Nothobranchius furzeri: one gene and its partner. The protein of the gene in region 1 interacts with the protein of each later gene in a pairwise test. Links are inferred from orthologs where the notes say so. Each region holds a gene or a part of one and is shown on either strand. Other genes may lie near its edges.

Region 1 (4,117 bases):
CAAAAGCCTCAGAACTCATTGGATGGCGCTTCACAGTGCAGATGGACAATGACCCAAAGCATACTGCAAAAGCAACCAGAGAGTTTTTGAAGGGAAAGAAGTGGACTGTTTTGCTATGGCCAAGTCAGTCACCTGACCTGAATCCGATTAAGCATGCATTTCACTTGCTGAAGACAAAACTGAAGGGAAAATGCCCCAGGAACAAGCAGGAACTGAAGACTGTTGCAGTAGAGGCCTGGCGGAGCATCACCAGGGATGAAACCCAACGTCTGGTGATGTCTGTGTTCCAGACTTCAGGCTGTAATTGACTGCAAAGGATTTGCAACCAGGTATTGAAATGTATAAGTTTGATTTATGGTTCTTATTCTGTCCCATTACTTTTGGTCCCTTAACAAGAGGGAGGCACATATGCAAACTGTTGTAATTCCTGCACCGTTCACCTGATTTGGATGTAAATACCTTTAAATAAAAGCTGACAGTCTGCAGTTAAAGCGCATCTTGTTTGTTTTATTTGATATCCATTGTGGTGGTGTATAGAGCCAAAAATGTTAGCATTGTGTCGATGTCCCAATATTTATGGACCTGACTGTACATCTTTTACAGCCTTTGTGGGGATAAGGCACATTTGTAACAAGACACCTGTCAACAATACCTAAAGATGAAATCAAAGAAGAAATCAAAGTCCACGTTAGTAGTTTTCCACCTGCAGCACCAAGGCTCACTTGAGTTAAAAACTTTGAAATAACTCACTGATCTGGAACACTTGTGGTTTCTTCTCCAAACAGGACTTCCATCATTTTTTTTAAGAACACAATTTATTTCAGAATCAAAAGTTTCTAAATTCAACTATGCCTACAGTTTCACCTGTAAGCATCTCCACTTTCGAGGGTGTGATCAGGACGTCTTGGGGCAGTGATGCTTTTGTGAGCTCCAGGACTGGTGGGAGGGTCAGCAGGAGGGAGAAGGATTCCCAGCTGATTAGCTTTGACTCTCCTCACCTGATGATAACCCATCTATCTCATCGCCATCACCACCAATGGCTGTCCAGAATGCTTTAGCCACCTGAAAATTTAATTTATTGTCAATATTCCATACAAGCTTCTCGTTTGTGTTGAAATAAACTAACCTACAAACCTTTTCTGCATGAACTTTTCTCTGCTCATGAGGTAATGAACAAGCTTTATCTAAAGGGGAAAAAATATATGACCTTTAATGCAAATACTCGACCTTCATGCCACAAAAAAAAATATTAACTTCACATTGTAAACTTATTTTCTTGTTTACCTTTCATCTCCTTTAATTTTGTAAAGAGACGTTCAAAATTATCCACATCTGCATCTCCAGCTGTGAGATGGGCAAGCTCCTGAATGTCTAAATCAGTCATGGCATCTGCAAGGATCAACACAGCTTACGTCAACAGAAGGGTTTGGTTGGAAATTGCATGAATAAAAAACAAAGGGGAAAAACGTGCCCACTACTGAATCCTCCTGCGATTCTGTGCTTGAGCTGTTTTCTCTCTGGTTGACCTCTTCATTGATGACTGTGCTCTCTGCTGGTATGCTGGAGGACTGTCACAGAACCAGCATTAATAACAGACCTTAAAAACGGCTTTATTGATTTAAAATTAATTTTTCAATAAAAATTGTATTCAAACCAAATTATTTTGGATGTAAAAACAAGGAATATTACATATTGGCACAAAAATGAAAATGTTTACAATAAAAATCTACTCACTGCTGGATCCTGGCAGTAACGTGGGTTGTTATGTCTGGAAGCCACTAAACTGCTCATTAAACCAAAACCCTGATTGTGCCCTGTTGGAAATAAAAAAAAAGTCACATGAATAATATATACACACAAAAAAATTATACAAGTCTACAAAATATGCAGCTAATATCAATTCATCAATTCACCATCCTTCATCTCCACACTGGACCACACGTTGGCATTAAGCGCCTGAACAACTCTCTTCACTCCTGTGGATTCTGGAAAGTCATCTAAAAATTACAAAAGAAATAATGATTGATTGAATAAATAAACAAACCAAACTGAGTATTTGTTAAAGATAACTATGATTGTAATTTCTTCTGCAAGTTGAACTCACCATCCTCATCTGGAAGCTCCTGTGGATTGAGCTCCACAAGCTCAAAAGCATGAGCTAAACACCATTGTTGTGCTTGATGTCTTGTAACACCTTAAAAAACACACACTTAATGTAGCAATGATGTGCAAATTGTATTACTGTTTTTCCTGCTAACTGATGGACACTATTTACTAACCGTTTTCACAAACTCTGTCACAAACCAGAATGAGCACTTCTGGAGCAAGATCTTCCACCACTGAAATCCAAGGCTTCAACTTTTCCAGCCCATCTTTCTGTAAACATCAACCAAACGTGATGGAAATAAAAACTCAGATTATATCATTTTATTATAACGTGATTCATGGGGTACAAACCGTTTTACTGTCAAAGTAAGCAATAAAAGCCTGCATAGACTGGGCAATCTCAGATGACATGTCATAAATGCTAGGTACAGCACACAATCGGACATCAGCTGTATAATATTTGTTGTTGATGGTCCAAGGATACCAGGAGACCGTTTCGTCTTGTACGGATGGCTGAGGCAAAGTCTCTGAACCAAGGATTTCTGAGGGGGTGAAAATAGCACACGGTATGTTACATTAAGCAAAGCTGCAACCACACAAAGCACCTCTAAATACCTGCTGTGCTAGCTACGTTTAGCTTACTTGCTACATGGTACACGTTATGTCTTAAATAACTTACGTTTAATCAGCTCTTCTTCTTTAAATTCACTGTCACAACTAGTGACAAGCACACACGGAAGAGTCATTTCTATGTTTTCTTCTGTTGCTGACATTTCTGACATTTGCTTGTTTCTGAGCTGCTAGTTTCCGGTGTAGCAACGTAGGCGACCTTTCAACTCTGACGCAAATTCCGCTTCTGGTGAAACGTTAATTCGACAAGTAAAAAAAAATCACAAAAAAAAGTCCGTAATTAAATTACATCAAATTATTGAAGCTGTGTTGACACTGATTGTTTATATAGTAAATTGTACAAAAAAAACTAAAATCTTAGATGACCTGAGTGTGAAATTTAGCCCTTTCTATGTCTGTTAGGGCAGACTGCAAAAAATATATGTATATATTTTGTAATAGGAAGACCATAATGAACATTTGTTGGATTACCTTACGAGATGGTAAAATATATGATATTCCTTTCTTATAGGACTTAAGACTGTTTTAGATTATTATTATTATTATTGTTATTATTTTTGGAGGGCAGATAGCTGTGAACCTCACAGTCAGCCTGTGGATGAAAAAGCCCACTGTAGCTGTAGTCATGGTTACAAGCACTGGTTTCAGTAGCTTAGCACAGACGCTGGTTAAACTTCATAAACTCTTGTATTTATGATATAAGTGTAAATTTCAGTTGTCAGACCTTCTCTGGAGAATGTCTGACACACACGAGAACAAAGATAAATTGGGTGCTGATACATTTAAGGTAGGTCCATGTCATTCTTTATTTTTTGCTAATTTAGGTTTTCAACTCATTGGAAGTTATCGTAAAACTTTAAGGCAAAGTACTTGTTTGGACGAACATAGCACCTTTATCACTAAAAACCTTTAAAAATGTTTTTATATATATTGTTGTGTTAAAATAATAACAATAAAGTAAATTTGCTTAGAAATTGAATTAGTGTTATCAGTCTCCAGTCTCCCATTAAACTTTTATATTTTGTAATAAAGGTTAATTTTAACTTGACTAAATTCAAATAATATTGTCAGTGATGAGGCAAAACATTGGGCATTCAAGCCCATGCATTTAACACGTGTTTCTGTGTAAATAAAGCATGCTGAGGATTATCTGAAAACAGTGAACAAGCAGCCACTAGTACTTCCACCCATTGAAGATGAACAAAAACATACAATACCTATTTGGTAAGTGATGAATGACTGAGTTGTGTTTATAGTGTCATACATTTTTATCATGAAGTTTGTGAATCAACTTCATGCAGGAATCCTCTTGAAAATTTCTTTGAAGTGCATCCCCAAAGGAAGAAGATTCCAGGAGCATTACCTGGAAAAAAGGTAGGAT
Region 2 (4,338 bases), on another chromosome or scaffold:
ACGTCCCTTTATCCCAGCTTTGATCTTTTTTCATTATTATTATTATTTATTTTTCCGGGCCTTTTTTACTACCTCGTCCCTCTCCTTGAGTAATGAAATGCATCGCTGTTGAAATTATTTTCTTGCGAAACATTACCGCAGTGTTATAAATCTAAGCACGACTAAAGTCAGTCAAAGCTCACAAGCATTACAGAGGGGATAAAAACAATTTCCCTTTGTTTACACGCTTTCCCTTTTTCTTCTATTCTTTTACGTTTGCACCATTTGCAGCTGAGATATCTCTGGGTCCCAAGGGCAGGCGCATTCCTTTACACAAGAGTTGTGCAATCCCCCCCCCCCCCCCACCCCCACCCCCCCAACCTACACCTCCTCCCATCAGACTCCCTAAATGCCCAGAGCGCTCAGATCCAAGCTGTCTAAACTGTCTGTGCAGTGGCCTGTGGTGGACTGCCCAGCCAGACCCGTAAACAAATGCTAAGCCTTGATAATGCAGGAATAAAACACAAACAACTTCACAATTGTGCAGAAATGTGTGACTATATATAGATTTTTTCAGTAACCTGTAACACCTGAGACAAATTATGTATGACAAACTAATTTACAAAGGGAACATAGCCGTAGTTTTATATGATCTGTCCTTCATGTTTGTGCACTAAATCTTTCCATATAGTGCAGCATAATAGTAAAACTACAATAGCTAAGTAATTTTTCATTACCAAAATTCATATGAAATATAAAACTTTTTCAGGAATTTTTTGGCTTTTTTTTTGCCTTTTTTGACAAAAGTTTTGACTATTTATGACATTTAATCAGCTGCAATCTGTTCTTGCAATTCTTTCCATGGAAATTGCATTTCTTGCTGAAAAATATTATCATAAAAATAATGCATACATCTTAGGTTTCACAACTGAGATTGTTTTATAAAACACTTATGTTTAAATTAACTAAACGCTAACTAGTATGCTTGAATAGAATTGTGGTGGGTTGCATGAAAGCCTCTGAAATAGTTGAAATTTATTTTATTTTATTTTATTTTTTTACTAGGAACTAAATGATTGAATATCACGAACCTGTAACGCTCAAAAAATTATGTGTTAAACTGGCTTGACATATATGTTAAACTGGCTTGACATACATTAATTTGTGAAGGTTTTTCTCATGTGATCCAAAAACGCAACGAAACTCGATACGTCAATCGGGACCGCTGGTTGTTGTAGTTTCTCGTGGATTACATTGACTTGGCAGAAAAGCAGCGATGACTACGTTTCCCAGAATGCAACATAACTCGGCGTAGTTTTGCACATCCTGTTAGCTTGAGAGGATAGCGGACGAACGGGCGGAAAAAAGAGATACCGATGTTTTAATATAAAAGTGGTGCATTATTGCTCATGAACGTAATATTCTGGAGTGCCCAAGAAGCATATTAGGAAGACGAAAATGGTAAAGTTATTCAATTATTCAAGTTAATCTTTTTTTTTATTAGCCGTCAGGTTATGTTAGCGTTTAGAACTCGACAGATAAGCACTCCATTCAGTCTAGAAAACTATACTGGTGGTTAAATTGAGGGTTTAACCACAGAAAACCTCCACTTTAGCCTATGTAGATAGCATGGTGAAATTCAAGAATGTCGAAGTGTACGCATTATGTTAAAAGCTAGGTGTGGTTTAATAGTGCTACCTTTTACACCAGCCAAGCTAACGGTCAGTAATAGCTTCAGTTACTTTCACATCTCAGTAAGCTGGAGTTCCATAGCTGCCAATCTATGGTACATATTATTCCAGTGTGTTAATCATTTGTGTGGGTGGGTTTTGTTGCAGATTATTTTGTTTGATCTAATCCGTTTTCTATCCCAAAGATCCGCTTTATCCTCATCCAGAACCGAGCAGGGAAGACACGATTGGCTAAATGGTACATGCAGTTCGATGATGACGAAAAGCAGAAACTGATCGAAGAAGTGCATGCTGTGGTTACAGTCAGGGATGCCAAGCACACCAACTTTGTGGAGGTATGGGATTGTATAAATGCTTTAATGTGTGGCTGTTTTTGCAGACTGCATAGACATTAAAAAGTTAAGATTTCTAATTTTAAGTATAGCTCAATACTCTTGAAAGAGAGGCTGAAATGCAATTGGATTGTAATGTTTCATATATGGATGTTGATCAATATCTGCAGGAAAATAACATTCAAAAGAACATATTTTCTATTTATTGAACTTGGTCTGTATGTGAAGATAACGCCTTAAATACACCCTTGGGTGACTTATCATTTTTAACAAATACAGTATAATAGAAGAGGTTCCCACCTGTTTATTTTTTGCTTGTAGTAGACTTAAATATAATTATTGGTATACAAAGCCTTGAGTCTCTCAGCTCTGCTGAAACTTCTGTTACACAAATCTAAATTTCTAATTGGATTTCACCATTTTGTCCTCACAGTTCAGGAACTTCAAGATCATTTACCGACGTTATGCAGGCCTGTACTTCTGTATTTGTGTGGATGTGACTGATAACAACCTGGCATACCTCGAGGCGATCCACAACTTTGTTGAGGTAAACAATGAACACACACAAACATCCATCCATCATTTATTTATGAAGCACATTTAAAAACACAGCATTTCAGCTGTCCAGAGTGCTGTACAGGAGGTCCAAAGGCCAAAAAACAGTGGTGGGCTACTCTACAAAATAGATGAGAGAGGAGGGAAAGTATAACAAGTTGGAAGTAAAAAGAGCCCAAACTGTACAAATTGTAGAAAAAGAAAACAAGAACCTAGCAGTAGCTAATACACTTAAAATGAAATCAGTGGACATATGAACAAAACAATAACCTTATTTCGAGATAAAACACACACATGACCTGTGCTTGTCATGGTCTGGTGGGGTTTAGGAGTGTTTCTTTGTGGCTGTGATTTGTTACCTTGCAGTTCTTGAATGCCAAACTGGCTGCATTTTTGTGTGGATTAAAAACTAACATATAGTGGTTAAAAATGATCGTCATTCAGTTATGAAGGCATGGAAAGCATTCATAATAAATGTGTGATTTGGCAATTAAATGTTCACCTTATATAACATCTGTCTGGTGCAGAATGTGTCAGGAGAAAATAATTGAATTTATTTAAAATTATTTAACCTCTATTTCAGCACCGGTTTGAAACACTTAAGCATCAAATACAATTAAAGTTTTTATTTTTATATTTTGATGATTGAATGTTTTGGCTTCGAGTCTGAAACAGAAATGAGGTAAAATTTCACTATTCTGTTTTAGCAGCAGTGTTTTCAGTCTGATCTTTGTGCTTTTACAATAATAATTTTGCACAAGTGAAGCTGACGGTATCCACCTAAACTACTTTTGAAGCCTTTCTCTGAAATGGACCACCTCAGGGATTATTGAGCGGTTTATTTTTTGTTTTTGCATAGAACTGTTAAAAAACTAGGACAAAATGGTTAAATTTGTTGTTATGCTGCAGCCTTTCTGCCATTTCTCACACAATGGAAAGCAAATGGGCAGCTGTGGAAGCCAGAATAAAGTAGAAGAAAATCAATAGTAGACAATAGCTGTCCTTGTTACCGTTAGCCAACAGCTAAACCAAATCCTGAACAACAGGTTTAAAATGTTGTTTTATTTAAAGTGAATTTGGTATTTTCTGTTCTGCAGTCGCATTTCACTCGTAGGAATTGTCGGTAATTGTCGTACACACTTTGGTTGTGTAGCTTAAAATGTACATTTTTCTGTTTCTCTTTGCTGGAAGGTGCTGAATGAATATTTTCACAATGTGTGCGAACTGGATCTTGTGTTCAACTTCTACAAGGTGAGAACACACAGAGGGATTATTTTTCAGATTTGACACAATCTCTGATAGAAAGACATTACATGTATTTTTAATTGTATTATTTTGATGACAAAGAGGGGGAGTTGGGTCATGTTCGCATGCAGTTGATGGTATTTGTGCTCAGATCAGTATTTGTCCTCTCATCTGTTTTGTGCGTCTGTCTCAAGGTGTACACGGTGGTGGACGAGATGTTCCTGGCAGGAGAGATCAGGGAGACCAGTCAGACCAAGGTTCTCAAGCAGCTCCTCATGCTCCAGTCTCTTGAGTGAAAATGTGTCCTTCCTGTGCTTTTTATCTTCTGCCCAACCCGACCTTCACCATGTCCCTATCACTCTGGAAGAACCACACCATTCTCCATGCCCCTGCAGAGCCAGCTCTCATCTTCAAGACAAGGAGGGAGGGGGTTGTTTTGAATAAAAATACACAATATTGTTTACGTATGGATATGAGTTCAGCTGTTTGCCATAGCAGCCCATATGTTGCATTATTCTGATAAACTGCTATAGATG

Evidence for each region.
Region 2: the proteins of aagab (region 1) and ap2s1 interact in binary tests that used the Homo sapiens proteins (3 or more experiments, as listed by UniProt). The link is inferred for Nothobranchius furzeri from reciprocal best matches to the Homo sapiens genes AAGAB and AP2S1.

What each region holds. Positions count from the first base shown.
Region 1 is NC_091744.1:65,858,464-65,862,580, reverse strand, and holds aagab (alpha- and gamma-adaptin-binding protein p34), read right to left. Parts: upstream 2,927-4,117; 5' UTR 2,889-2,926; coding exon 2,786-2,888; intron 2,649-2,785; coding exon 2,458-2,648; intron 2,377-2,457; coding exon 2,280-2,376; intron 2,195-2,279; coding exon 2,105-2,194; intron 1,998-2,104; coding exon 1,914-1,997; intron 1,815-1,913; coding exon 1,735-1,814; intron 1,569-1,734; coding exon 1,472-1,568; intron 1,390-1,471; coding exon 1,285-1,389; intron 1,185-1,284; coding exon 1,135-1,184; intron 1,063-1,134; coding exon 979-1,062; 3' UTR 797-978; downstream 1-796. Other genes in the region: iqch (IQ motif-containing protein H), read left to right, coding at 3,473-3,523, 3,872-3,960, 4,038-4,110. UniProt on the Homo sapiens protein: May be involved in endocytic recycling of growth factor receptors such as EGFR.
Region 2 is NC_091753.1:41,293,677-41,298,014, forward strand, and holds the start of ap2s1 (AP-2 complex subunit sigma), read left to right. Parts: upstream 1-1,287; 5' UTR 1,288-1,437; coding exon 1,438-1,440; intron 1,441-1,855; coding exon 1,856-2,005; intron 2,006-2,435; coding exon 2,436-2,549; intron 2,550-3,748; coding exon 3,749-3,808; intron 3,809-3,996; coding exon 3,997-4,098; 3' UTR 4,099-4,338. UniProt on the Homo sapiens protein: Component of the adaptor protein complex 2 (AP-2). Adaptor protein complexes function in protein transport via transport vesicles in different membrane traffic pathways.